4 linked regions of the Drosophila melanogaster genome follow. The protein of the gene in region 3 interacts with the protein of the main gene of each other region in a pairwise test. Each region holds a gene or a part of one and is shown on either strand. Other genes may lie near its edges. The genes, in order: CG12679, CG15211, CG31140 and cad.

Region 1 (5,807 bases), on a different chromosome or scaffold from region 3:
TAAGACCCTTTTCCAAAAATATATATGAACAAAACAATCAGGAGAAACGCTATATAAGATAAGAGAAGATATAGATATAGATAGATACGATATAAGATATATAAGATAAGATATATAAGACCGCCAAAAGAATCTGCTTGTCTAGCTTTTAAAGTTCACGAGATACGGACATGGCAAGATCGGAGCCGCTTCCTTCTACCTACATACTAATTAATGGAGAGACGGCTAGAATCGAGTGTCGCGACTATTAGATACCCTTTGCTCACATAGTTAAGCGCTATATGGCCTTGCATATTTTTGACAATTGGCTTTGACCCGTTTCGATTATATTTATTTCTCATCTAGAACCCCAACCGGAAGTACCACATTGATAGCACAACTGATCATCAAGATGCTGATCAACGCAGCCCGTTCCACTTCCCCAAACATAATCCCGAAAGAGTGGGAGCCTCAATTCCCCCATAGATCCAATATGGTCAATCAGTCAACCCAGACTAAGTGTGCGCCATGGAATATGGTGAATGAGTCTACCCAGTGATGCCAACATTCAAGTTCGCCTGATCGGAACGCTGAAAGGACTAGAGCGTCCTTTAGACAAGAGATGACAGGAAGTAATGGCCCTTCCTCGGGACCTCTTATTGGACCAAGACACATCACATTCCGCTCAAGATGACAAAAGGGAAAGCCTTAACCTATCTATAAAGGAACCGACTGCATATTAGCATTGGCCACATTGTGGCGATGCGATGGACTACATTTAGGATACCCAATCGAAATAAAAAGGGATATGTAGAAAAAAAACTTTCATATTCAGAAAAATGTCTTTTTTATTGGAAAGCTGATTGTTTGTATGCCAACCAAAATAGGCAGAATAATGAATAAGTCATATACCCGTCACTCGTAATATATATGCGTAATTTTAACCATTAAAAACTGAAGGGACACCATTGTAATTGCAGAAGCAAAATCTGTTCTGTTACACATTCAGGCATCATCATACCTTAACTCGCCGATATGTATGTACATATATATTATTTACTGCCTAACGTTCTTCAGACAAATGGTTATGCAAAGCGAAGATATTTGGGTATGTTTTGTGGACGCAAGCTTAAAGTGGCACCCGCATTTCTTACCTTGCACCTACCCCACTCCCTTTGCGACCCACGCGGCGTATGAGGAATGCGAAATTGCTCATACCGCCCGTGGTCCCGCATCTGAGCAACTGGGTGACAGTTGATTTGCCTGTCGGCAATGGCAGTTTGGAGCCCAGAGTCCGGAGTCCGGAGTCCGTCGTCCGGAGCACTACAGGCGGCACTGCGGGCACTGCAATTACGGCGACTGGAGATTTTTCTAAGAAAACCGCACAAGGCGACGACGGCGACTGTGGCGCCAGCATTCCAAAGTAAATTACAAACAAAAATGTTGCAACGAAAACGAAAACGGAATCGCACGCGGGCCCCAAAAGCGGAAACCACAACAGCCAACAAAAATGTAAACAAGGGCGCAGAGTCGTTGAGGGGAATTTCTTCGTTCTTCATTCTGTGGCGGAAAAAACAAAGATCCAAAAGAAAAGGGCAGAAAAAAATCAAATTGAAAATGAAATGCAGGAGTGTGGCGGTTCAAGAGCTTTGGCGGCCAAGCGACTGACGTCGTCTCTCAGTCTTTCAGTCCTCCAGTCGCCAAGGAGTGAACATCCATCCACCACCAGCACCGCCCCAAGGAAGCGGGCCACACCACCCCGCTTCCGTGGCCTTGCCTTGCCTTGCCTTGCTTATGCAATTTGGTATGTGTTTCCCAAGAAACCTTTGTTGCATTATTGCCGCAATTTGCTGAAGTGGTGACGTGAGAGCCATCACAGTGCTGCGTCCACGAATATTGCCCCGTCCCTTTCCTTCTCTGCCCTCCTGAGTCCCTCGTCCTGAGACCCCAGTCCTTCGTCCCTCGTCCGTCGTCCGTCGTCCTTCGGCCCTTGAACCGCGTCTTTTTCGCGCTGCCCCTTCAGCCAGACAGCGAACAAATAACAACTAAGTTGGCAATTTGAAGTCGCGCGAGTGAGTGAGGCTAGTTAGCCGCAGCACACCGAAGTCTGTATACCCTTGACATGGTTTATGGCTTATATAGTAGTGCTATATTGCTTATTCCTTTCTCATTGTAGATTTGTAATTCATATCCCCAAACTACAAATCCCTAGTGCCTTGTATTCAATGATAGTTGGCTCAACCAATTTCAAATGCTGATTCATCATCTTGGCTTTATTTCGCGAACCGATCAAATTTAAGTTTTAGCAATTAGCCCTCAGTGAGTGCGTAGGTCATAAGGGCCAGGATGCCGGTGTTTCCCAGAGTCTCTACAACGTTGCTAAGGCCCTCGTTGCAGCTATCGACAATTGCACCGCCGTATCTGGCGAGGAGCGCGGTGGCAGCCACACCGAAGTAGATATGGTTGCCGTCCTTGATGGCCAGATACAACGTGGAGCCGATGTTGCCCAACAGAGCGAGGTCCATCAGCGTCTCCGTGGAGCTGTCCCAGTCCTCGCTGATCTTGCCGATCATGTCGTAGAACAGTGGAATCAACGACAGGCCGTGCACCAGCGCCACTCCCGACTGATCGGATACCAGGTAGAACTCGATGTTCGCCAGTGGCAGCGGGATAACCTCCAGTATGATGGCTGAGATCATAAAGGTGCGTCCGCACTCGTCGGGCTCGTTGGCAAAGGAGCGAACCACGCCCAGCACTCCGTGGACCAGGCTGAAGGATGCCGCCAGGAAGGCATACGGATGGTCCGCCGGGGTCAGTGAGGTCATCGTGTAAATGCAGGCCAAGATCAGCAGCAGATTGACCAGTGCCCCCACCACATGCATTTTCGGCGCTTCTCTTCGTTCCTTCGAGAATTCTATCGATTCTGTCAGTCTGGTATCACGATATGCGATTTCACTTATTTGTTACGAACACAGGAACTAAAAATTTTGAAAGTTGCTACCTTGAGACTGGGGTCTGGAATGACTGAATCCAAATGACTCCCACTGGCAGAACATTGAAGACCGAGTCCAGGCCAACTCTGTTTAATCGATTTATCAACTCAGTTTTGCTAGATAAATGTTTTGAGATTTAAAATGGCCATATCATAAGCAATACACAAATGTATCGGGTTCTCGTTCTTATTCAAATACTTATACCTTTTACCTTTTACGACATACAACATGAGAATTAAAATGGCTACAAGGACTAACAATCCTCATTATGAAGTATGCTTGCATACCCTTCCTTCGTTGCAATCATTCGTTGTCTAATCCAAACCCACTTCAAATCCCGAAGTTCCTGAACCAAATATAACCAATAACCAAGCCAGTGCAGCCAGTATGCCAAGGGGACAAAGGCTGCTCATCGCCAAAGTGGCTAACGTTGGCCACCTCAGATTACGACCAGGGATGGATGTCGGCAGGGTCACTGAGTCACTCCCGGCTGAGTGGTTAGGGAGGCAGCATCAGAACATCGATCACAACACCTGAACGAACGCAGTATATAAATAACCAATCTGGATTTTGATCCGCACAAAGGACGGGAGTGGTAACCCCCAAAATCCCGAGCGCCCTTTTCGGGGCTCCAACGCTTCAATAAAACTGCAAAGTGCCAATTACAAAAATAACAAGTTAGCCCCAAAACTTATGTTGGCTTTCCGACTTGCCGTTGTTTCTTTTGCTTTTTTCCTTTATTTGCCCCGATGCATTATTAAGTTTATACCAAGAAATTTCCCGCACTGCATTGGACGTGTGTGTGTGGTTGTGTGTGTGTGAGAGAGAGTGGCATTTAGCTGGCAAGGACATTTTCATGGTTTTCCAGTCAGAGAACTGCAAGGGTGGCACTTTTTTACCACTCGACTCACACCCTACAATTTTGTGTGCGGGTGCTACTCGCCACGCACATCGCGGGTACTTACAAACACACAGTATAAATCTGAACATGCAGACAAGACACCCCGTTGTGTGCGCACCCGAATCAATACGGTGTTTTGCGTCGCGGGTGCCGCTCACACAGTGCCTAAAAAGGGATGAGTGAGAAAAACACTTGTGGGTATACCGTTAAACACATGGGTGTTTCCAAAAATACTCGGGTGTTTCCAAAAATACTCGAGTGGTCTCGTAGGTAGTCGAGTCAAATGGCGCCATACATAATGATTGTTGAGTTCTTGTGTCTTTGGTCCAGTGTCTCGGCTGTTAATTGCCCCTTTTTTGTTTTTTACGATGCAATTACTAGCTTGTTAGGATTCAGTATTATTTGGAAGCCAAAGGAAAAGGTCACAATAATGGCAGAAGCGGCTGATTTCGTTAAAAATAAAATTAACAATGGAACATACTCAGTTGCCAATAAACATAAAGGAAAAAGTGTTATTTGGAGCATTTTATGTGACATTTTAAAGGAAGATGAAACTGTTCTGGACGGATGGCTGTTCTGCAGGCAATGCCAGAAAGTGCTCAAATTTTTACACAAAAACACCTCCAATTTATCCCGCCATAAATGTTGTCTAACATTAAGACGACCAACGGAATTAAAAATTGTTTCGGAAAACGACAAGAAAGTAGCTATTGAAAAATGCACCCAATGGGTTGTCCAAGATTGTCGGCCGTTTTCTGCAGTAACCGGAGCCGGATTTAAAAATTTGGTGAAGTTTTTCCTACAAATCGGCGCTATCTATGGGGAACAGGTAGACGTCGATGACTTACTACCTGATCCAACAACATTAAGTCCTTATATTTAATAGATACTTTTTAAGCCCACTATGTTTTTATTATTTAGATTGAGACATTAAAAAACGTAAAAATCAACAAATGCCGTCTTTAATTGCAATTACTTTATGTGTTTGAAATGGGAGGCACCCATTGAGTCCATCAAAGAGCAAAGACATGAGCACAAAAATTTTCTTGGGTATTCCCTTTTACCCTTCATTTCTTATACCCGTCACGCTTCCACCCATACAAATTTTAGGCGTACAAAAAATGACCAGAGAACTGCAGCCCGCATACAAAAAATGACCTGCGGCCGATCGTTGACTGTGCGTCCACTCACCCATACGGCTCTTGCGCAGCAGGCCTCGGGTGGTTTTTTTACTCGTAACAAAAACACAACGTCGGTAAAACACTCGAGTATTTTGTGTTGCCGCAAGTAGGGTGTCAAAAAAAACGGGGTGCCTAGAGTACCGAGTGTTTATCGGGTGGACGTAGAGTGCGAGTGGCGGGCTGCAGTTCTCTGTTTCCAGTTCCGTTTCGACAGCAACTTTTTCGTAGCATACTTTTGCCGGCGCATTGATTGGCCCCGAGCATTCGTTGGACTGGCAGCAGGAGTCAACTAGCAGCTAACTTGATCCATCTGCAGGCCTCCAGCCAAAGTGCAGGATAGTACTGAATGGATAGTCCTGAATGGATAGTCCTGAATGGATGGTCCTGGATGGTCCTGGGTGCTCCTTGGGTGGTCAACTCAAATTGACTGCAGCTGGGTCCACAACACGAAGAACTTTTGCCATCGCACCCCAAAAACAATGCCGACCAGTGCCAACTTGTATTGCCGGTGGTTTAAGTTCGGGGGTTCGGGTTTTGGTGTTCTAGGGTTGGGATTAGGAAAAGGGGTAGGGAGAAATATTGACGGGGCCAAACTGTGGCATGACCAACGAAAATAATATGAAATAAATTCCAATAGAGCAGCCGAAGAAGAATGAGAAGTTGAGTGGGCTCGAGCCGGGGCCAATTGGGGATTGGGATTGGCCGAGATGAGTGGCTGGACAGGACCTGGAGCAACTGAGCTGGGGGGGTGTG
Region 2 (10,384 bases), on a different chromosome or scaffold from region 3:
GCTTTTTCTACAACTGCATTATTCACCCACATGAACTGTTTTCCCCATTTGATTTGAATTTGATTTACTTTCATTGGATTCGATTTTGTTATTAACTATTTATTACTATTCCAATTCAATCTTCCGCCGACAGTTTGGCCGCCGATGTGGGCAAGGGCGGCAATCGGGAGTTCAACGGCCTGATCGATTGTCTAATGAAGGTGATCAAGAGTGACGGACCCATCGGTCTGTACCGTGGATTCATCGTGTCGGTGCAGGGCATCGTCATCTACCGAGCAGCATACTTTGGATTCTATGACACTTGCCGCGACTTTCTGCCGAATCCGAAGAGCACACCGTTCTATGTGAGCTGGGCGATTGCCCAGGTGGTCACAACCGTTGCCGGTATTGCCTCCTATCCCTTCGATACTGTGCGTCGCCGCATGATGATGCAGTCTGGCCTGAAGAAGTCCGAGATGGTGTACAAGAACACAGCCCATTGCTGGCTGGTGATTGCCAAGCAGGAGGGCATTGGAGCCTTTTTCAAGGGCGCCCTATCGAACATAATTCGCGGCACGGGCGGTGCTCTGGTTCTCGCCCTTTACGACGAGATGAAGAAGTACTTTTAGCCCCAGTGTGCCGCCGTTTGTGGTGGGCCAATTCGATCGCCAGCAGCAGCAGCAGCAGCCCCGGCCACAGCAAATGTCACACCACGATGGCGTAGCACCAACCGAACACACTGTCCACCTCTTCGTCGAGGAGGACTTGCTCCCACGAGCCCAGTAGTAAATTAATAATTTGATTTGATAGGTCGCCCCACATGGTGGTCGGTCCCTCATTTCAGATTGTGTTCACTTTCGCAGTGGTTGAGAAAATACAAATAATATATTGAACTCAAATCTTTGTTGTGCGCTCTTTGTTTGTTTTCATCATCGCGTGTTTTTTGCTTTTTGGTGCATGTGTGTGTACGGATTAGGGTGGGCCACATCTAACTAGGATCTAATTATCCTCTCAACAAGCTAAGCTAGTCGTTATATTCAACTATATGTGAAGGACAAACAAAAAAAATTTAATTAATTTACGTATATTATTTTGTCTCGATTGAATACATTTCAAAAAAATTACAAAATCATTATATGTACGCCATGAAATGATAAAAGGTTATGTACTATATGGGCTGCCCACCCTACTCGTTTTCGTAGATATGGTCTTGTGCGGGTGGATTTAAGACTTAAACGTTAGTTAGCCATTTAAATAAAAATAACATTAAAAACAGAAAGCCATGTCGCTTTCCATTGTCAATCTGCTGCATACGTTAATTAACAACAAAAAACAAAAGTACAAAAAAAAGAGGCAAAATTACAAGTACTCGATCTGCACTTATTCTGTAAACAATTAGAAATAACTCTAGACTAAGATCCAGTCACTGAGTTGGCTGCACTTAGTGGGTAGCCCCGGACCTGTGGGCCAGGAACAGGAAGTACGTGCCCGCCGCGTAGGCCAGGAAATTGAAGAGTCCAAAGACACCGGCGGCGGTATTCGAACCGGAACCCTTGCCCGTGGCATCCGACCATCTGGCCAGCTGGACGATGAATCCGATGAAGTACAGCAGCGTCAGCACAGCGGTGGTGATCAGCTCCTGTTGGGCAAAACAAAGTAGCAGTTGGGTGGGTTAGTTCATACTAATGATCCAGAGCAGTTAGTTGCCATTTGTCACTCACCGAGAATATCCAGTTGACGGCCACGTTGAGGGCCTCGCGAATGCCCAGGAAATAGGCGGCGATCAGCAGAATGTTGATGATGAACGAGATGACGATGACGAACATGAAGAACGAGGTGGCCGAGGCCAGTGGAGGAGCTGCCAGGGCCATGCAGATGATGCCCAGCACCTGGTGTGTATAAAAAGATGGGTAAATGTGTAAGTGTACAAGGTCGCAGTAGAAGCAATAATATACGAGTAGTTTTAAGATTCAAGCGCCATCTGTCGCATTAAATCGTAATTGTGCAGTTTTATGCAATGTCTATTTAGGGTAAAGTTGAATGCATATTTGAGATGTATAGATTGCATAGCATCTTATATTATTAGTTGTAATACATATATGTATAGTCACCCAGATCGTGATCTTCCTCCAATTGAGAGGCGCCTCTTCAAGGTCGTGATTTCGAATCTGGAGTGAGCATGTCGTGATGTCACCTTCAATTGAATGCACGCCATGAAAAATTAGAGGCTGTGCTCAGAATGTCGCCTTGTTCTCCAGCTAATTAAGCGGTGAATTCAAAGAATGCCACTGCACAGATACATAGATACATATGTACATAGATACATATGTAGCTCAGATTTATTTGGAAATGTGCTTGTAGTAAAATGGCTCAGAAACAATTAGGTACTCCATTTTACTCAACTTAACTTAAGTTTATGTCATATTTCAAACAAACTGAGGTAACAGTATCCCGTATCTATGAATGACTCAGTATATATTACCAATAACTTGTTAATATATGTATACTGAACTATCTGTAAGTCATTTTCGAGAACCTTATCGCATTTCAAGCAAATTCGCAGGGCGATTTCGTGAGTTAGGAACACTAAGATCATAAAGCTGGATGACAGGTGCCGATGATGACACACATTCGTGGTTGTTTTAGGCAATTAAATGGCAATAAGCTTTTGGCGACACAGCAACAAAATAAGAAATCAAACAGGTGTGCGCAGTCAGTCGACTTGAGCATTGTGTTTTTGGCTAAAACAAAAGGTACACGAAAAGTGAAAGCTGAAAGTTGTAGCCCAGGCCAAAAGCGACCTGTTGATAGCAACATCTTGTTGTTGTCCCCTTTGTTTTTTTTTTTGTGTGTGTTTCTTATTTGCTATCTGGTAAACAATTAACTGCACAGCAGCCGCATATCAAAGGTTGATTGAACTGTCAGCGATTTGTTGAGATTTGTTGATCTTGGATCTTGGATTCATGCATTTTCCAAATGGTGTTCGTATTCTTCATTTGACTTATATACTTTTTTTTTTAGCCTCGCACTTGTGATCCACAAATGTTGTGCGTCACTTTTCAAAAATAAAAGAGCCAGAGAGAAATTCGTCTGGGAATTATACGAATTTTATCTTTTCTAAGCATAATTTATGGCGGGCTTTTTATTTTTATTTTTACTTCTGCGTATGCATACATAAGGTATATATAACGACAAGATTGGCATATATATACACATTTGTATGTGTTAATCAGTTCTTATGTGCACGGTTGGAAAGTTCTTATAACCATATACATATAACCATAATCTTTAGTTCCATGGCAACGATCAAATTGCCTTGTGGAGCATGAAAAACTGCGTAGAGAGTTGGGTGCATCTGGGTATATCGATCGGGGCAGCAACATAATTATTTACTTTTCGAGCGAAATTCAATGACGCGAAACGCCACTGAAATGGATCGAGTTCTTGGCCTCCGATTATACGGTCTACGGTTCCTAGCCGCGTCTGCCTCGTCTGAAGTTCAATGGAAGCCACAGAAATTCTAGTGGTCGCACATAAACAACAAGATCGTTAGATTACAAACTTCCAACTACATATGTATAAATAATGTTCTTTCTTCGAAAGCTTAAAGTTTAAACAATACCTGTAAGCTAATATCCTCGCAATGTTTAACAAATATTCCAATTGTGGTGGTACAAATATATATATAGTTCGAAGTTAATGGACAACCATAACTGGATTATCTAATAGAAGGATCAATGCCCTTGAATTGTATACATACATATGTATGCCCTCCCTTTTGTTGGCTAACAATCTGTTAACAGGGCCAAGACGGAGCTTCAAAGATGAGCTCACTTTCCTGAGCGCCGTACACTTAGTCAGCGTCAATTACCTAAAATGTACCCAAGCACACAGTTTGCAAACACACACGTATTTGCATAGCCATGTGCACTTAGTGCAGTCCGTTTCGCAGCTGTAAGGCAAGACGCTAACTGAAACTTATAACTGAAAAGGGATAAGATTTGAGGTTTCAGAAAAAGTGCGCCCATAAGATAGTAGCAATATACAATTTATATTTCCGATAGTTTAAGTTAACTGCTTTCGGCTACAAGCCAAACAGCCTACGTTTATGGCATGCACTGTACATGATGCCACAACGATCGATCGCATTTTCATCAACAAACCGCCAACAAACGCCAGCATCTGTCTAAAGTGACTTTCGGCTCGAATTCCCCAGATCTCTTCGCCTCCCCCGCATTTTTGTGGTTAACAATTTCTTGAATGACACCCCGTATTTGTGTCATAATTTCCGCTTTTGGCTAAAACATTCGTATTAAAATTAAAATCCACGACAATGCTACAATGCCAAACAATAAGAATGCCGTCGGCAGCTTCCAAAATACACGTCTTACGTAATTAGGCTATTATAAAAAAAATATTCTCGAACGGCAGGGACCGCGACCAACAAAACTTAATAATAAATCGTTCTCTTTCCGAATTTGCATATACTCGTAGATATTCCGATGTGTATGTACGTATATATGTATATAGAGCACACTTGGCCATGGAATGCATATATGCTTGGGGCATCGCGTGAATATGTATGGTAAGTAAATTGAGGCAATGCTGGGTCCAAAATGCTAATTGCCAACGATAAGATACGAAAGAAGCGTTATATTTCGGGGGCTTTGTTGTTGTTGTTGTTGTTGTTGGTATGATTTGGGACCACTGGGCGGATGAGTATGTGTAATGGTCCGTGGGCAAATTAACGATCGGCAGTCAGGTGTCAGGAATCGATTGGCTTATCAGCAGGAGCATGGCTACCGAAAATATCGTCGGTCTGCTCCTCTCCGCTCGCAAACAGGTGGTCGCCACATTATCGTCCACTTTGTTCGGATAACGGTGCGTATGAGTAACGAGCGATTAGCTATGGCACTCAATATATTCGCAGAATTGTTCGAAATGAGTCACAATCGGTGAAAACAGTCAAAACTGCAGTCAAATTCGAACTATAGTACCAATAATCTAATATAATTTAGTTAAGCTCAAGAAACAAAAGTCTTAAAATAGATAGCCATGAAAGTGGTCAAGTTTCCCGCCATTTGGCCCAATTTGAATTATTTATTTAACGGGCTTAATACCTATCAATTGGCATTTGGGAAACGAGCAGCTGCAATTACGGCCCTGTTTTTGTGGCAACTCTCAAGTGGAGCACTTTTACATATTTCACACTGCGCTGAGACGACTATCAGCAGACTATCGCTTAAGGGTACCGATAAGATTAGTTGCCACAAAAATATCCCAATCGACAGGCACACCGCTAACCGAAAAAGAAAATTAACTAGCCATTGGTGAAATCAAAGCATATTTGAATGACAAGTATTTGCTTTCCTTTTTTGGTCAGATTAGTATATGAATTGGAAATAAGTCCTACCAGAACATCCGCAAATTACTTCGTCAGCCGTCAGCTAAACTAGCTTAGTCGCCTGATAATAGCCGATTTTCAGAACAGAAAATCAATATATATAAGTTAATAAACGACAGCTTATTGTGACGGTAATCATATCATCGAAGCACCCAGCACTCCTCCCATTTATCCGCTATTGATTTTCTCCGTAACAACTGACGAGCGCTTAATAATGCATTTTTCATGTGGGTCCCAAGCACTTGTCGTTATCCCTTGACCTTGTGCCCACCAAGCGTTGGCCCATTGAGAATAGAGAAATTTTTGCCTGAAAACTTTCTACACCTGAGCAGGTGATCCATCCGAGCGGTAGTTGAGTTACCCCAGTGCCCACTCATATAATTGCGAGTACCTTGTGTTGGCGTCGCATACCGATTGCATCGCCCACACTTTAACTTCATTTTGCTGCGGATTTGTGGGAAAAAAGATAGATCATACATAGCTTCGAATACCAGGCCAAATGCGTTAAGTGTTTAACGTCTGTGGAATACAAGAAGAGGGCTATGAGTTGACCACATGGCCATGGAGCTCACATGTTTGCAGTTCCTACAACTTGTCTACCCCTATCTTATCCGTCGTAAGTCTAATGAGATCCTGACATATGTACACACAAAAGGGGCAAGTGCACAACACACTTGTTGTCGGGCATATTGTATACATATTTGTGTAATTGAGTACACATCGAGGCTCTAGGGTTTCTTAAGTCTCGAGATATCTCGATAAAGAATGGTGGCGGAAGGCAAACTCTAGATAAAACCGTTCAATTTATGACGATAAGAGTGCTATGAGGAATTCTAACTTTTCTCTACAACAATTATCCAACGTATATTTTAATATTTCCCTCTGAAACTTTATGTTTCGAAGGCTCTATCAGTTTCGAGGAAATACGATAACAGCCAAATTCGGAAACTTATGTCTGAATTTAGCATTCCACAAAATAATGTATGTACATTATGGTACTTTTTCAACATAATCGCATTCCTAAGTTCTATTTAAACCGACATTTATGCATATTTTAAATCTAAGAGTTTAGAAACATGTAATGTACATAATTTTGATATGTTTGGAAATTTGGCCCAGTTTTTGGTTTCAGTTTTTAAAAGACTTCTACTCAAGTGGATCGTATTCAATAGTTTCGAAATATCATATGTTGCAATATTAAGTATTAGATTTTCATTTGTTTTATAATGAATTATAAAAATATAGTAGTGATATATCTCAGCTAGTTGTATGTACTCACAAACTCCACAATTTTGATGATGCCCGGTATGGTGCGGAAATAGTCGATGTTGAGGCGAATGGCGCTCCAGAAGCCGCCACCGCTGCCAACGGTCGGGTTCGCTCCACCTGGCGGTCCGTTCGTCGTTGTTGTTGTTGTGCGCTCGATATTGACAACGGTCTCGACCATATTGTTGCTGTTTATAGTTTGGCTTGGCTTAGTTTCAGTTTCAGTTTCAGTTTCAGTTTGGCGGGCAAGTTTACTTTATTAGCTGGGCACAACAACTATTTTTAAACACTTGTCGCGATTTTTGTCACAATAAAATAAGATGAGAAAAATAACCACCGCTTTCTATATGTTCGCTGGTCGATCGGCAGCTACCCTATATATCTATATCTGATGTATATGAACGCGTGTGACGCCCTCGCGCGAGTTACCACCCCACCCCCTAAACCCCCACGCCTCTAATTCTCAAATATATATATAGAGATATATGCCGCGTGTGGTGGGTATATTTGGGTATGTGGTGAAATGTGTGTAGTTTAGTATCTGGTAGTTAACTGTAGCTATATATCCATGAGCTGCGCTGCGATTGCTTTGGCGTTACGTTGCTTTGTCCACGGCGGCCGCTGGTCGACTGAACTGAACTGCGAGCTGAACTTGCCGCCGCTGCAGGCTAACGGTTAACCGCACGCCGCTCCGCTCCACACTAGCGCACTCACGCTCGCTCTCCCACTCCCACTCGGACTTACACTCACATTCGCGCTCTCCCAGTTAGTTAGTTAGTCAGTTGGCTATTTAGTTGCGCGCGCCCTTTGACGACGCCCCTGCAACGCCCTAAATAGAACCACCCCCCACCCCCCTTAGTTGCCACTCCCCGCTGCTTGTGGGGCAAACTAGTTTGTTGCGCCTGCGCCGCTAACTGTTATAATCGGCACAGTGGGCCAGATTGACCGTATTGTGTGATTGTGTTCATTCCAAAATAAAAGTAAAACTATTAAATAAATACAGTTGTCTAGATTTCTCAATAAAACATTTACATTTTATTAAAACCATCCGTACAAAATATGCAATATATATTATTAAATCATGTAGACAACGCGGCGTATGAGTAATATTTTCTTTTTTTTTTAGTTTTCTTCAAGAACCCACAAATTCCCGTTTGGCTAGCACTGCATTTCGCCATCTCTTTCTGATTCGCTCGCTGGATCGGCGTCCCTCTCTCTCTTCCCAACGCCCACTGTGCGTCGCAACTGGTTTAACGTTCTGATTCGACTTTTATGGCTGCCGCTGCAGCACGGCCGTGGGTCGCCTCTGATCGGAATTTCAAAACAGTGGAGCGTGTTGTGGATGTTGGGGCAACAGTGGGTGGCATGTGTGGTGCACAGTGGTCACACACGGCACAATTCGTGGTTGAAATGTGTGAGGGACTTTAAAAATTTTATAAGAAACCGATTGGTTTGCAAGTGAAACAATAAGCGGTGTTTTCATTTTTTTGGTTAGCTTTTATTTGCGTGCAATACAAACTATGACAAAATTTGCCTAATAAATAGAGCCTAATTTTTGGGCCGCTCGATGAGCCTAAAGACTACGAGTTGCGGATCAAATGGATTGATTTGGACAAGGACATGGACCGGACATAAGGCTAGACAGTACAGATTTATACTATGCGATCGGATATCGTATACAATTTTGGTTCAGCTGCTCGGAAATCGCATTCGAGTTCGCGTTAAACATGTGTGTGTGTGTGTGGTGTGTGTGTGTGGTGTGTGTGTGGGTGGGTGTGTGTGTGCATAGAATTCAGTTATATTGCTTATATAAATAACTCTGCTGCCTTGCAAACATAAGGAATTATTTTTGGATCACAATAAAATTATAAAAACATATATCTATATATATATATATGTATATACATATAGTATATAACGAAGGTAATAACGCAAAACCAATATGCAATGCACAGGTTTTGGAACCACCAAGCATTGGGGCACTGGGAAGGACTAGATAACAAGAGCAGCACGGTCTGCAAAATATAACTAAGCGCGGAGACTAACAGCTAACAGACCACAGGAGTATTTCAAGTACAAAACATTATCGGCCGCAGCGGCGATCAGCTCAGAGCGTCTCCCTGGTGTCAAGCTCAACCAATGGCGGCACTGGCTCCAACTCCGCACTCTGGCTTCTGCTCCTACTTAGGCTGGGACTGGGGTTGCTCCTTGAACTTGGACTGGTGTGGTGGCTTGCGTCTGCACTGATATTACTTGGCTGATTTTGTTCATGGTTGTTATGCGGCGACGAGGTTGCCGGGGTCAGAGGAGCCGGAAGTGCTGGCGTGCCGGGCGGGGAGAGTGCTGGCGGAGTGAGTGGGGCAACGGCCACTTCCCTTGTCTGTGGCGGCCAGTGGATGGACCTTAAAACGCTTTGGCTGCTGCTGGAGGAAGTGGAGGGACTTTCAGCATGGCCTGAAGCCAACGAGGATCCCGAGGTAGAGGCAATATTGTCATCGTCAGTCTTGGCCGTCTTCTTCTCCTTCTCCCTCTTCTCGCGCTCCTTCTCCATGTCGGCTATCTTCTTTAAGTAGTTTTTGTCCTGGGTCGGACATTCGAGGTGGACGCAGTGGAAGATCTAAGAGCAAGGAGAGCATTAGCTTATCGGACATGTTTTGTGGCGCTGCACTGCTACGTACCTCATTCGCTGTGTTGCGTGTGCCCACAATGCGGATATAGACCACTGGACGCGGAGTAAAGTGAAAGTTCTGCCAGGAGCGGGTCCTGTCGTTGCGGCGGTCCACGACCATTTGCCATTCCTTGCGGTTCGTCGAAATTTCGATGTAGAAGCTGTAGGTGCGATCATCGCAGTCCCACAGCAACAGCCTCATTGAGCCCAAATAGTAGGGTTGGCCCAAACGGACGACGATCTCGCCGCTGCCCAATTGGTGGCAAGTATATCCCGAGTCCCAGTCGTAGCGCACATAATCGCCGTTGATAAGCGCGTTGCGGGTGCGACTCACGCCGTCCGTCACAATGGCGCTCATCTCTACGGTGGCCACGTTCGTCTTGGGCGCCACAAAATGGTTAACTAAACGCGGCACCTTGGCCGTGTGCATGGCTTCCAGACCCACAACATGGAATACCTATATATTAATGGAAAGGGAAAAAGTTAAAGAATGGGGAAAGTTTGAAGAGATCACTGCTGACTTACCCGGTTTACAGTGTTCTGGGTGCCCACCAGTCGAATGAATCTGACGGGTCGTGCTTCGAAGTATAAGTATTGCCAGGAGCGGCAGTGGTAGTCGCTGTAGTCGACCACGCGATCCCAATGCTGCTGGTCGCCGGACACCTCAACGTAGTAGGAGTACGCCCGGCTGTCTCTGTCCCAGAGCAGCATGCGAATGTGATTGATCATGCAGAACGTGCCCAATTCGACCACAATGCCCGCATCTTTGCTGTCCGTAATGCAGTGGCGCGTATACCCGTTCTCCATGTCATAGGTGGTCACATCTCCATCCAGCAGCGCGTCGCGACACTCTCCCTGGATGCAGCGCGACAAAAACGTCTCCGCGGCCACGTTTTCCTCCGGCCAGAGCGCCGCCCTGTAGGGCAGCGCCTTTGAAGTGCTGCGCTCGTCGATGGCGTCGAGAATCTTGTCGGGATCCAGGATGCCCGAGGGACGCACCACCTGCAGCAGATGCTCGAGGTTCATCAGTGGCAGGCGGACATAACTAACCACGGACTTGAAGTCCA
Region 3 (7,492 bases):
CACAAATCGTAGATGACCCATTGGTCATGTGGCGATGACGTCGGGTCTGCCGATCACTCTGCACGAGGAGAACTTGTTTAGTTTCACAGGGAAAACGCAATTGTCGGACGAGGCACAGACCAATTGCTTTATTTTCGGTTCGGATAATCTACATTACTTTATTATTTTATCAATAGCAAACCTTTTCTGATAAATGTCAAGATATACATTCACCCAATTAAGTTATTAAATCTTTTTACTGATGCTTTGAACACTTCACATATACTATCCAAAATAATAGTAATCATTTCATGATAAGATTCCTATATTTCGCTATTCTGTGCATGTTTATGCCACCCACTACTGCCTCATCCTCATCGACATCATCAGCGGCCGCATTTTCATTCCAAGTTTATGGCAATTTAAAAAGTATTTTCAAAACTAGACGAAATGTATTTTTACATCTGCCGCTGGCGTTGAAGATGTTCGATGATTTGCGTGCTGCGTTTTCTCGGTTCTGTTTAGTGCTCATTAATTACAACTTATTTCTATTGCGGCCGTTGAGACTGAATTGAGAACTGATGGACGAAAGATGTAGTTTCATATAGAAAATTCAGTTTTAACGATTATCTTGAAGGAGATAATCCAATGTAAGATATGCCTTTCTGATCAAATTGCTTACGCAATAAATATGAATAAAAAAATGTGGGATATCCTGTGATCTCATTGAAAATATTTAAAGTACTTGTACTAGCTCGGTGCTTACCTTCGCAGATATATCCCTGCTGGATGAGGCCCCAGAGCAGATCCGAGCAGTGGTGACAGTATGTTGGCTTATGAAATGTCTTCTTCACGAATGAATGCCCACCATCCGCCATTTTGTTTGCCTGTGTCCGCAGCCCGCCCCACTTCCTGTCCTTCTGCTTCCGGTCTATCCTCCTGCGCCTCCTTGTGCCTCCTTATGCCCCGTTGCCTTATGCGTAGTGGGTTTTTTGTGCGTTGTCCTGCTGGAGGATGCTGTTGCAGCTGCAGTTGCTGTTGCGCTTGCAGCGGCAAAGGTCTCTCGATGTTGCAGTTATATGAGCAGTATTCGCGGCTGCTGCGAGTGCAGTATGTGTTGCAGTTGCAATATCGCCTGCTGCTGTGTATATGGGCTATTTCGAAGTGGGATTCTTGCGGTTGGGCAATTTAGGCCGCTGCTGCCGGTGCGGGCGTCGACGCCAGCTGAGCCAGCGCTGCCGTACCGACCGAGGGCGTTCGATTGGCGTGGGCGTGGCAGGACTGCTCCTTCTGATCCTGCTGCTCCTTCTGCTGCTGTTGCTGCTCCTGGTGCTGCTGGTACTGCTGGTGCTTTTCCGACTTTTCCTGTTGCTGCTGACAAAAGCGATGCGATAGTGACGACGGCGAAAGTGACGGCGACGACGGCTGCATTTTCATCCATTGGTCAGGTAGCGGCTCCCTTATCCGGACATTTGCTTGTCGGGATCGGTGTTTTTCCTCGCTTTGAACTTTATTTATCCTTACTAGTTTCTATATACATATTGGCTATGTATCATATTTGCTTTGATTCATATTCATGCATCTTTGGTTTGGTTAAGCGTTTTCGTTTATAACTTTCTTTTGGTGGTGAGTTTTTAACTGTTAATTATTTACAATTTCTGGCGCTGCACTAAACAAAATAAATTTGATAATTGCTTGTTAGAATTTATGTGTGCCATTTGAAATAAATAAATTCCAATTGAATTTTGTATATAGCACTGCACACACAGTCGCGGACACACACGTAGGCACACTTCACTCGGCGGGCGGTCTTCACTTTACTACTACCGAAAACGAACAGTCGCAGCAGCAGCAGCAGCTCGGAAAATGTTTTTCTTCGACTTCGCTCGTTCCTTTGCTTTTCCACTTTCCGCTTTTCTGCGCTGATACGTGGGCGCCGCACACCCCAAAAGAAAAAAACAGCAGAGCCAAAAAATGAAAGGAAAACGTTTCCCGATAATAAAATCCACAAGAGCGGGAGTTTCCACAGGGAAATGCGAGAGAGAGAGAGAGAAAGCTAGAAAGAGAGCGAGAAATGGGGCTGCGCGAGAGAGAAGGCACGCGTCATGCGTGGTGAGTTGGGTAAAAAAGTTCCCAGTATTCTTGGAGCATCATAAAAAAGTAGTAGACATCAATATAATAATAGAAGTGGCAAAAATATGATATCAACAGCGTGTACCGCAGGGAAAAGGAGAAAGGGAACCATAGGGAAAAGGAGAAAGAGAGAGTGGCACAGAAAGCGAGAGAGGGAGCTAGAGCAAACTGCATTGCTTCAATTTCTCCCACCCAAAGCGATTCTATCAATTTCCATAGCTGCGGCGCCCTCAAGTATGCAACATGTTCTGCGACGAACCAATTACCACCGCCACCCACTTTCCCAGCACCACCCCCTCCCAGCCAAAGGCCGCCCACCGCCAGCGGGTATGGCCAAGGACAATCCAGTCAAATATTATATCATACAGGTCCTAATAATAGACGGAAACAAAGGTAACGACACTTGAAGTTTTCAACTTGATGACAATAAACGATAGCTAACGGAAGGCGCACAAATCCGCATTGTGTGTATACGCAAAGTTAAGGTCGGCATAATGGCCCTCAAGCACAAGGATCTTGGTCCTTATTTAGTGTATATGACATGTTTTTAGCATTGATTTTACATCGAATTATGTCCTAAGCTCATAATTCTATAACTATCTATTGTGACAACAAGATATGAGTTTCCTATTGTTTAAAACCCTCAAATTTTAGTTCGATATTCGATCCTATCGAATATTGATATTAACGCATCGTTTGTGTGCGCAGAAAAGCACCTACACGAAATTATAGTAGTTATGATGACTTAAAGCAGATTATAGATGGAATCAAGGAATATCTATAAAACTGGAATCCACATACGCAGTTACTTTCTATAAAAAAAAGTTGTTAACCCTTGAAGTAGAAGTACTGCGAACTTGAGAAATGAGTTGTGAACTTGGACTTGACGGTACTATTATTTGCACCGCAACTGTGAGTTTGGAGCCAGCCTGACGACGTGGAATGTCCAGGACCCGTTTCCCGTGTCCATATATCCTGGCCACCAGGCGATGTCCTGGCGACATGCGCACTCCGGAACCCACCACACTCGCTCGCGCGAACTCAACTCCACCACGACGGAGCGTTTCAAAGAAAGTGGCCAAGTTTAAGGATAAATCACAACGAGCAATATTTTTGCAACAAATGCGTTGAACGGGCGGCAATTTGGGGGTTGGGTGATGAAAACTTTGCGGCTTTGCTTTTCTTAGGGAAATTATTGTTTTGTTTTGGGCTGGGAGAGGCGCAGAAGCAGAAAAAACGGAAAATTATGGATGCTAATGGGGGGCCCAAAAAAGCGAGATATATAGATTTCAGAGGCTGTGTATACACACACACTCTACAACTGTAGACAAAGCAGCCGTACTTCGTACCCGTAGTGGCGCCCACCCAGCCCACTGACGCCCCCACCCCTTTCCCCCTCTGGACTTGCCACCCACTTTTCCCACCCAATGCTGCGCGCTTCGCTCTTTTCGGGCCGCATGAGCAAATCGCAATAGATAGAGAATTTTTTTCTTTCTTTCTTTTGCTGGCGCGGCTTGATTCCTTGCCACCACATCTATATGTATGTATATATATATATGTCTGATTGGTATATATATGCGAATATATATGTATCTGGACGGAGTGCGTGTGGCCTTGTCTTTTTCCATTTTCATTGCTAATCACACGAAGGAGTTAATTTGTTAAAACTTTGGCTTCGGATGGGAAAGTGGGGCCTGGAAAACTCTTGGTACTTGGCACATATGACAACGTAATTTTCACGCGCACACACACACTCGCGATTTTGGAGAGAGAAATTTTATGTACCATACATTTTTGAAGCTGCAAAATTTTGCACATTCGATTTTCACACTGCCACTAATGCTGCCTGCTACTGCTGCTGCTGGCGCTGCTGCTTTTTCCTTCGTTTTTCTTTTCTAGCCGCACTTTCGAATTTTTTTTCCTTCACCGGATGGAAAATTTTCACACGCACAGCAATCGAGTTAAAGCGAGTTTTTCGCAAGTTTTCATCGCGATTTCCCCCGAGTTTTCCACGCGTTTTATGCACTTTTTCGCTGCGAGTGTGTGAGAATTTTCCTGTGTGCTGGCTGTGTGAAAATGGAAATCCAGTGAAAATCCGCAACCGTTACGTACGGAAGAGCACACCTAGCTGCTGTGTGTGCTCCGCTGAAGACGATGGTGCGCTCTGCGGACGGGTCTGCAACTTTCTCGCGGCGCAGCGCCTTTATCGCTGCCTTCGCCGCTGCTCCGCCTGGCGCTCTCGCTGCGTCCCGCTCGCACACGCCGTGGGGCCAATCGCGCCCTCTCGCTCGACGCTGAGTGTGTTGAGTTCGCCGAATTCCTGTGTGCGTGCGTGCCCAACAACAAACAGGGGGAAATGTTGGGGAGCTCCCGTTAGGGAGAGAGCCAGGTCGCTCTCTATCTCTCTCGTTCGCAGTCAGGATGCTCTCTGGCGACCCCCCCTCCCCAAATAAAAATGAAATCAACAATTTGTTGGTCGGCGAGCTGCCAACTTGGCCCCAAAATAAATGTGGCCAAGCTAAGAGAGGAAATTGGCCCAAAGAACGACCATTATTTTAAATTAAGGCTTAATTGAAGGTTAGAAATGTAGGTTTTTTGAAAAAAATGAGTTTTACATTCAATATTAAAATCAGTAAGAAAATGCATTTTCTTATATTTTATAATTTAAGTTAGTAAAATCTCATAAAAACGAACTTTTCAAAAACCATTGCCTACTTTCTTGTGCTTATTCCGCGTCATAACCATGACGTACTATTGTCCCAACAGAAAAGAGTAGTACTGAAATATAAAAACTCTCACGCTCGATACCATCTTTATTTGCAGCAAAGAATGCATAAAGTAAACAGAGTTTTGATTGGTTACTTTGGATACAGCAATTTTTATATATTTATAGGGCTTTTAACTTACAACTATAGAGTTGAGCACACCGTCGATTAATCGCATCGCTTTACTTTGCTTATCATTAAGTTAATCTTTACAAATATGAACGTGTGTGAGCAACCGATATTGATGCTTTTTTGTGAAATTAAATGTATTGCAAATTGCATTTGCCAAGCGAAATTAGGAATAGGTTTAACAGCACTTCTATACACAATGTTTTTTATGCTGACACAGGGTGGTTAAATTACAATAGAACCGGTATACTTTTGGGTTACGTTAAATACACATACAATTAAGGCGACTTTAAATGGGTTCAATATAGATAATGCCTTTCTGGCGTTACTTTTGCATAGAGCCAACTTAGCCCAGGCCGTGATCGTCGAAGAAACTCTGCGGGGTCTCATCCTGGAAAGGGAGAATGCTTAGCTTCAGTTACATGTTACTATACTTTACAGCGCTTGGGGTAAAAGGAAACCAAATAAAAGTATCGATACTGGGGGCTAACTATGAAAAAGACTATGAAAAAGGGTGGTATATAGTAGCAACTAAAAACGAAAGGACACCAAACGGGTGCGCTAAGCCAGACATATAGGTAGATAGACAGTTTAGAGGGAGTGGAGCTCAGAGATCAGATCAGTGGAGGTGGAACAATGTGGGCGTCAAGAGTTTAGAGCAGTCAAATTGGTCAGTCACAACAACAGCAAAGACAACAATCAAAACTAAACGTTTAACAAAGACACTAAAAAGAAAACTGAGGTTCACCAGGTCTTACCATTTTCATATAGCATACGAGTACAATTAGGATTTTTTTTTCAAAAATACTTGGTTTTTATTTTAACTTGTTTTTCTCAGTTACAAAACACAGAAAATTTGGCTAAAACGTACAACACACATACATAAACATATATATATATATATATACTTGTAGATATAGATAAACTAGATTTTTTTATTCGGTTATTATTACAATTTTCAATTATATATCGTTCTCATTTAATCAACATTAAAGCTTACATGTTTCTATTGTAAGAATAGTATTGCATATATTTCCCCACTAAATTAGTTATTGCCCATTTGGTGATTGATTGGAATGATCTTTCGATTATAAAATGTAGATAGGAAGAGGAATATTAATTCAGTTCAGGAACCCCAGGTGGAACTACGTGAGGTTGGCTTGTTTTGCATGAACTTTTCTGAATCTATTGTGTCTGTGCGTGAAATTTACGAGATAGAGTGTATGAAAAACCGCATACCAGATGCTCTGATGTTACTATATAGTATTATTGCTTTTTGGAGCCTCACGCTGCTTGGCGTCTTCTTGCTTATAATTTTTTTTTCAGCGCTTCAGTGCTGTACAACAGCCAAATCACACACTAGTGTTGAGGAGTGGATGGAGCAGTGCTGTAAAGTGCCAAGTGCAGCACACGTTATCGCTGGGGTGTAACTGTGTGTGTTATTGTGTCGGGGTGTGCGTGTAATATCAACTACATAATTTCTAGGGTGTTCTAGTTCTTTAGAGGAGTCCAATGTCTCTTAAAGTGCCCTCAACGGCTTCGTCCTGGAGTACAGAGAATAAGAACAATAAGAACGAGAAGAGTAGAAGGAAAGAGAGTAGTAGTGGTAGTAAGAGTAGTAGGTGTATGTGTAAGTAGAATGTGTCCAAAAAAGAAACCAATTTCGATCTTGTTTTGCTTTTCTTTCATGTACGGCACAACTTGGAAACACGAAATGCATATTATATGGATGAACATCACAGCGCAGCGCGGGGAAGGCAGGGAAATAGAAGCTGGGCAATATACACATATATATACAGCTGGACGAAGGATTGACTGATCTGACCTATCGACTCTCCACTAACTCTTTGCAGATCGGGAATATAACTTTATGTTCTTTACACTGTTTCTTTGGGATGGGTTTTCTTTTCTTCTTGGTATTTATTTATTGTTTTCATTGATTAGTTGAGATACTCATTGAAGTCCTGTGGTGGTTGTTCGTGGTGGTAGTAGTTGTGTTAACATCGATATATGCAGTGGCGGGTAGGGTAAGCGTTAATAATAACAAGAGAGAGGGTACATGGGTTACACATTTATATATGGCTTATGGTATGGCAAGAATATGTTTAGTTGAACATTAGAAATTCATCTACAAAGGTCATGCAAAATAATCAAGCCAACTACGATCGACATATTGCTACAAATCGGGTTAGGAGACTTACAAGAGTTACGGTCACAAAATAAACACAGGCTAAAAATTGTACTATAAATGGCAAACAAGGTTTTAGTTTTTGTTTTAGTTTTACTGCACAGCAACATCTATGGCAAGTTCAATACTGTGGCGATTTAATATTTCCTGGTAGATTCTCACAATTCACAATTCGTTTTCGAGTAGGCAAGTTTCGAAACTCAAGACGGCATGCAAATAAAAAAATCGATTGAGTGCGTGTGTGCCAGCCGAGGTGGTTTACATCAGATTCGGAACTTAAAGATAATGACAACGCTGC
Region 4 (7,154 bases), on a different chromosome or scaffold from region 3:
CACCCATTTTGAACAGCTACCATTTTAATTTATCACTCCGTTGAGTAAGCTGTCCGTAACCCCAATTTAAGCCCCCGGAATCCCTAGCGCCTCCAATATAAACTCGATACGCCTCGAATGGTATATCAAAAACATGTACACGAAAGTGGAGACCTATGCGTATATGGACATATATACGGCTGTGTGCGCAGGGCTTTGGGACAAGACTCGAATTTCTGGTTATTACCAATATCAGGGCCAATACAAATAGAGCAGGAAAACCCAAACACGATTCTATTCTATTATTTGGACAACTAAGCCCAGAGCAAACGACACATTGGTAACAAGTCCGTGACAAACGGACAGGGAGATGGGACGGCCTGGCCAGCGAGTTCCAATGCTAATCCCATCATGTCAATCACCGATCCAAACGCACACTCCACGTAGATCAGTCGCAGCCAAAAATCGACTTCATTTTTGACCCGTGCAGGAGCGGAGGAGGAAACTTTGGACGGGTGAACGGGAAGGGTAAATGTCATCGGCAAACAGCGATAGTGCTGATAAGGAAACCGAACCAAACATATTTCCACTGCAGCTAGTGGCCATTTTCGATGGCTTATCTTGGGACCGGGAACGGTACTGGTACTCGGAGCGGGACCCAGACCAAAATCGGACCACAAAGGTATCCCATCCGCGCCGGTGGAGCAGTACAACACTTTTCAGATGCGTCGGGAAAGCAATATAAATCCAAGCCCGCCATATATTCCTTCTCTCTCTCTCTCTCTCTCTCTTTTTCGATTATTTATGTGGCTAGATATAAATTTTCTGTGCATATTGACACATTAAATCTCAATGTGTCAGGTGGCATTAGTTTTTATGTCCCAACACGGGCAATGCTGAAAATCTACAGACAATCCCAGTAAGAACTCCTTGGGCCCCTAGATACATTTGGTTCTCCGGAGAAATTATAACGACAATAAATTACGGACAGCTAATAAGCAAAAATGTATTGCTAAGTGCGTTCAATGCAATGAGATGTTGGCCAATCGAAGGATCAAAGAATGAGGAGCCTTATTTGGGCAACATTGGATAACTGATACAATTGGTTGGATACTTTAGCCAACTTTGGCAAACCAGAATTGTTGGAACTATCCTTTTCTGAACTATGGACACTTAAATTTCTTGCCGTTTAATAATGATTGCATAGATTTGATCGTAAATGTCGCTATTTAGTTTTTATTGGAAGTAATACTAATTTTTATTGGTTTACGACCCTATATTGTTTTAATCAATATGCCCGTCGCAAACGCAGCGGAATCGCTTATCAACAACGCTTTTGACGTTTTAGATAACACGCAAAGAACTCTTTTTTTTTTTTTTTTTGTGGCCACGTTTCCATATCACTCGGCACATTATTGAAGCAACAGAAAATAGAACTCGCAGCCCCATGGGTTGGGTGGGGTTTTCAGGACTTATTGACAGGGCGGGCGTTTATTTGATTCCCCACGCTAGCTAATCTAATCGAAAAACCCGCCCGAACCACCAGCCATTGAAACAAAAGTACACGGCATCTGCATCCAGCGACAATCGTGGTTGCCGTTTTATTGCCACACCCCGAAAGCTGAAGTGGGCCTTCGACGTGCCCTGCCGCCACATGCCGCCACATGCCGCGCAGACAACGGAAAATGGACCTTTTATAATTCTATCAAAAATCACGAAGTGTTAGTCACAGCCCCCCTCTTCTCTTCTGTTGGAAAAGGCAGATTACTAATTATTACTCGATTTGGCGAGACCATCAATTCAAAGAAAATGCCAGAGAGATAATACCTGAGCAAAGTGTTGGCAAAAGGTGCTGCTGATCGCTCATAGTGGCTGTAAATAATATCTAACTTTATTTTTATATAATATTTATTCTTACTTAAATATTTGTGCTTTTTAGGCAAATGAAATACGGCAAGAATTACAATCAGTCGCGCGTCAGAAAGGTGACATTCAGACAGCGGAGGCTAAAGGGGGTTTTGAATAATAATAAATAAGGCAAACTTGAGTCGCCTTGTCGGCTTGATCAGCTGGATTAGCGGCCATAAACGCTAATTGCATGCCAACAGATTTTATGGGCTTAATGGATATCGGCGTTATTGTCGATATCGTCGATATCGTCGTCTTCATTTTCCCCTTCTTGACATGCGCCCGGGTCATAAATCGTGAACAAATGTGTGAGTGGTTTATTCCTTCTCATGTTTGAGATCGCTGCACTGCCATCTGAATTGCCTTTGCTTGTTTTTCCAGAGGTGTAGGAAAACACAGCAAACAAAACGCAAGAAATCCACATAATCACAGAAAATTTGCATGAACTGAGAGAAGAGAGTCGAATTGGGTATTATTCACTTATTATTCAGAATATTCACTATTTTTAGAAAATAGTGAAACCTTCAATTAGACACTCCACATAATGCTAATTGCTGTGAAATAGGTTCCGAACTCCCTAACTTTCCTAAGCCTTTACAGTCCAGTCCTCTACTCTGATGGACTTTCCATCAAATGCTGTCTGGTTATTGGTAAGTTGATCAAACCATTTTCAAATGCTTATAGTTGTTAAGTTGATTTACGATACAAAATTAGTCAATGGAATCGGAATCGAGACGGAGACAGAGTGGAGCAAACAAACAGAAACACTCATGTGGACGGTGAACACGGGGTGGCCATAAATCAAGGCGTCGGATCGGGGATCTCGCGACCCCAACTGAATATCATAAAAGTGAAGCTTGAACAGAATTTGATTTTTATGAGCTAATTGGCCATTTGGACTTGGATGCGCGCCAGGCAAACGGATTCTTATAAAAGCCCATATATGTACCGTGAGAGATGGACAGGGAAAAGCGCGAACAGCACGAGCTTGGCGGGAAGACAATGCAGTGCATTATGTGCTGGGCAATATGGAATCTTCGGGTTCGGAATGTAGCCAGGCGGATGCGGGAGAAACCCAAGCGCAGGGTACGCGGAATCGAAGGTCAGTGGAATGACTAAGTAGCTGAATACACAAAAATTCGGGTAATCGAGGTCTTTCGGACTAAAAGCCTTCGGTGAGTAAGATCTTATTTCACATTCGATTAAAAAAAAAAAACTCATACAAGCTAGTGACAATGGCAAGCATAGACCTTAACTTTGCAGTAAAAGCAGGTTATTAGCCTTACTCATAAAGTTATGAAGTAACCGATCATACCCCCTCATAAAACACTAAATCTGTATTTAATATATTCTTGGGTCTCTAAGGACTCACCTGGTTGTGGTTGTGCTGGATAGGCGGGCTTCTTCATCCAGTCGAAGTATGGCGGCTTCGATGGCGATGTCCTGTTGTTGTTGCTCACCGAATTGTTATTGTTGTTGTTGTTATGGGTGGATGGGCTATTGTTGTTGTTGTTGTTGTTGTTGTTGTTGTTGGCGACGGCACTCAAATGGTGTGCCAAGTGATGATGCGGCGACGAGGCAGAAGTCGGCGCCCCCGGGCTAGAGATTTCCGAGCCCGAAACGGTAATCGGTGGCGACGGCAGACCTTCGGCGATGTGCTGCTGATGGTTGGGTGGTGCGGAACCTGGTCCTCCATCGGTGGCCCCGCCAACACCACCGCCACCGCCTGCTCCTCCGACGCCGATGCTGCTGTTGGTCTCGTTGAGCTGGGGCGCACCCGGTGCACCACCGCTACTGCTGCTCCCGGAACTGGCGGAACTGCTGGAGGCATGGGCGTGATGATGGTGGTGCTGCTGCATCAGCTGGTGGGCCGACGTGGGCACATTCTGAACGAAGTTATCCGCCGTGCTCGAGGCGGGTGAGTGCCACTCCCCGGCAGAGGCCGCCGCCGCCGAGTGGAACATGTGATGGGAGTTGTAGTACATCTGGTGGGCAGCGGCCGCGTGGTGGGCGGCATGCGAGGAGTCCACATCGCCCAGGAACTGGTGGTTCGGCGGCGTGTGGTGGTAGTTGGGCGTCCAGTTCCATGGCTGGCCCGCCGCTGAGGCATAGGCCAAATTGGCGGCACTGTGCTTTTGTGTGTAGGGCAGTGTGTTGTAGTAGTGCGAAACCATTTTGAGGTTAGATTAGGTGCGCTTTCTCCGAAGATAGTCCCAGTGCTCGGTCCGGTGTCCAATAATCCGGCGTTAATCTCTAAGTCTTATCACTTTGATGGCCAATATGTTTTAGTTGCACATTTTCTGGAGTTTCAGTTTGGGTTATAATGGATATATTTTGCTTTGTCAATCTTTACAGTTATCACTGGCTGGTGATGTGTTTTTTGGGAGCACAGTAACATACGACCGAGATATCGATAATATTTCGAAACGCTATTTTTCAGCACTCACTCACGAGATGGATTTTTGTTTTGCAGGGCTAATCTACTAATTTGAAATGTTATTCCGTGCGTGGCGACGTCAACTCAGTATGCAGGTCGAACACGTACTGAAACGTAGAGCAAGACTCGACTGATAAAAAACTCAAAGCAGTGGAAAATCAGATAAACAGGCAGAGAGGCTCAAAAAAAACAACCACCGCAGTCGGCACTCACTAGTTGTCTCTTTCTAGCGCACGAGCAGTGCCTTTACTTGGGCGTTTTTAACCCTCATTTCCGTTGCTCGGTCGAAATTCAAGATGGCCTGAGTGCTTGACTACCGCTATCTCCGTCTGTCTGGTGCTCCGTCTCTTTCGCACCGGTCTGCGATGGCTGGCAGGCAGGTGGCCACGCCCCATTGAGCCAGGTATGCAGTTTGTCGTAATATCTTGGCCAAGAAAACCCCTTTTCCTTTATGGCCCGCTTTCGATTTGTATGTACTTTAATTGCAATTGCCGTTGGCTAATTAAGTAATTGCGGAGATGCGTGTGTATTATGCAATTAGTGGCTGTAAAATTATGTTGCCACGGTCGTAATAGTCGCGATATATGTACCTCTATCTGGGGAATAATCAATGTTTTATCCTCCGGATTTTATTCTCCATATCCATATACCGTGTTTGATCTGCACACACTTGATGTCCAGACTTTTGGTGTTTGCCAAGCAATCGCTGTTTATATGGGCGCCTCGATATTGTCAAAGCACTATTGTTCGGTTCTAGTTGTAAAGCTAATGCCATAATTGACATGTAAGCAGCGATAAAAATTCGCAGGGAACTCAAATATAGCGGAAGAAGTCTGGCATTGATAAGGTGCAAGATGTGATACAAGGGGCTTATGTAAAAAAAAAAGATGGTACTAAAAATGAGGTGATCTTTTGACGGATCTATCATTTAATGTAAATCGAAAGTTTCCAGCTTCATTACCAAAAATATGACTAATCAATTTAAATTCCCATGAGAACTTATTTTCGATCAAACTTCGCTGGAAGTTTAACAAATGGGTGGAATTGAAATATCGATTATTATTTCATAACGACTTTAGCAAAAGTGTTACCCATTTCGTGAAGCAAAAGGCAAAATTGGCCCAATACGGTAAAGAATTAATAATATCAATAAACCCATTTACAAAACCTCCTCACTAACATAAAAACTAATAATTGAACGCAATTTGAATAATAATAAATAAATTGATTTATTTATAATTTATGACAGACACGCGTGTGATCATAAGATTGCAAACGCGCCTAATTATTATAATATATTGGCAATATAACAAATTCCAAATATTCATATTGTGGCATTAATTATAAAACTATACATGTAATATACCCTAAGATTAGAATGTGAAATCATTGTCCAATTATTTTCAAACTATCTGACTATAATTTTTCCTTACACAAAGGAATATAATATATTCATTGGAATAAGGTATAGTTGGTTAAACATATTCCTGCCTCACAAATTCCAGGTCAGCTAACACCATTCTTATTAATTTTTCGCAAGAATTTCGATACCACACAGCTACTCCCAATTGTAATCCCTAAAAAGAACGCTAAGCTCGCGCCGATTGAGTAATCCCGAGATTCCAGAAATCCTCTCTAAATCTGTAAAAAATAAATTCATTGATTGCCGCGATGTTCGATGCTCGGTATGGGATCGTAAAACTGCAAACTGCAAATGTCGCGTCAAATAATTAGAAGTGAATGCAGCTGACACAATGGAGGATAACCGACATATCCCCGAAAAGGACTCGGCGGAACACGGGAACAGAAGCACACCGGGCAGTTGGCCTCGCGAGGGAGGTACTCAATACTCACTTATTAACGCTGAACTACCAAAAACTGGTTCGGGTTCGTTTGCAAACAAAAAACCCCTTAATGTCCGTAAGACAAAACATGTTGTAAAACAATCGAAGGCCCGCGCACAAAAGGTGATTTTATGATTACGCGAACGCGATCGCTTTCGCCATAACCATCGCCATTGCGACCCAAAGACCAGAATACAGAAACCAGGATGCGATCGTAGAGGTCGCACGGGAACGAGGACACCAAACAAGGCCTGTAAGGTGGTGCTGATGCGTTGACCTGCCCATCGATCGGCCCATAAAATTCACACAACAATTAGGCAGCCACAGCCCAGATTTGTTTTTTCCTCTTTTTCGCAAACCGTCAACAATTCGGTGGAATTTACTGCGTGGGCTGGGCCTGGAAGGGTACGACCCGTGGGCTCTATAAGGCTGGGCTCCTCGTCTCATCCCAGGCACGGGCAAGTCATGTAACACGCCGTTACCTGGAAGTCATTAGGGGCGCACAAAAAGGCTAATCCCTAAGTGATCTATGTAAACATATGGTAACTCCCCCTGGGCGGCAAATTCGAGATGAATCATGAATTTTGGTCGTACAAACGCAAGATTTGATAGAAGATTGTAATATTTTTTCATCAAATAGAAAGTGTTGATCAATTACAAACATAATACATAATATTATAATATACAAACGTTCCCCGACGATTAGTTGAATCGAAAGCAGAGAATCCATTTCGAATTGCCCTTCCGGCAATGAAAGATTTATTTCAATCTGTAAAACACTCTAATGCATCTCTATCTGGCCATCGTAAATTAGAATCTGTCCCCGCCATTGACATTAACAACCTGCTACGAATTCAATGGTATTTATACATATTCCCTCAATTATGTTAATAAATCCATAAAGAAAGCAAAGCAAGCGCCATAGCCCATAAAGCAGACTCCGAAATAAAACTCAAGGGGCAATCAGACCATTACAGATATGTCCA

The links.
Region 1: the proteins of CG31140 (region 3) and CG12679 interact in a two-hybrid assay, tested with the Drosophila melanogaster proteins (one large-scale study listed by BioGRID).
Region 2: the proteins of CG31140 (region 3) and CG15211 interact in a two-hybrid assay, tested with the Drosophila melanogaster proteins (one large-scale study listed by BioGRID).
Region 4: the proteins of CG31140 (region 3) and cad interact in a two-hybrid assay, tested with the Drosophila melanogaster proteins (one large-scale study listed by BioGRID).

The regions. Positions count from the first base shown.
Region 1 is NC_004354.4:20,373,532-20,379,338, forward strand, and holds CG12679 (uncharacterized protein), read right to left. Parts: upstream 2,992-5,807; 5' UTR 2,862-2,991; coding exon 2,289-2,861; 3' UTR 2,233-2,288; downstream 1-2,232.
Region 2 is NC_004354.4:10,769,445-10,779,828, reverse strand, and holds CG15211 (uncharacterized protein), read right to left. Parts: upstream 7,289-10,384; 5' UTR 7,203-7,288; intron 7,062-7,202; exon of another isoform or gene 7,032-7,061; 5' UTR 6,831-7,031; coding exon 6,663-6,830; intron 1,869-6,662; coding exon 1,701-1,868; intron 1,619-1,700; coding exon 1,421-1,618; 3' UTR 848-1,420; downstream 1-847. Other genes in the region: Ant2 (adenine nucleotide translocase 2), read left to right, coding at 134-608; BTBD9 (BTB (POZ) domain containing 9), read right to left, coding at 8,757-9,266, 9,328-9,774, 9,843-10,384.
Region 3 is NT_033777.3:23,959,956-23,967,447, reverse strand, and holds the start of CG31140 (uncharacterized protein), read right to left. Parts: upstream 4,269-7,492; 5' UTR 4,225-4,268; exon of another isoform or gene 4,215-4,224; intron 1,649-4,214; exon of another isoform or gene 1,644-1,648; 5' UTR 858-1,643; coding exon 746-857; intron 1-745. Other genes in the region: AP-1sigma (adaptor protein complex 1, sigma subunit), read right to left, coding at 6,506-6,550.
Region 4 is NT_033779.5:20,768,015-20,775,168, reverse strand, and holds the start of cad (caudal), read right to left. Parts: upstream 4,439-7,154; 5' UTR 4,062-4,438; coding exon 3,260-4,061; intron 1-3,259. UniProt on the Drosophila melanogaster protein: Caudal (cad) is one of a number of transcription factors controlling segmentation of the embryo.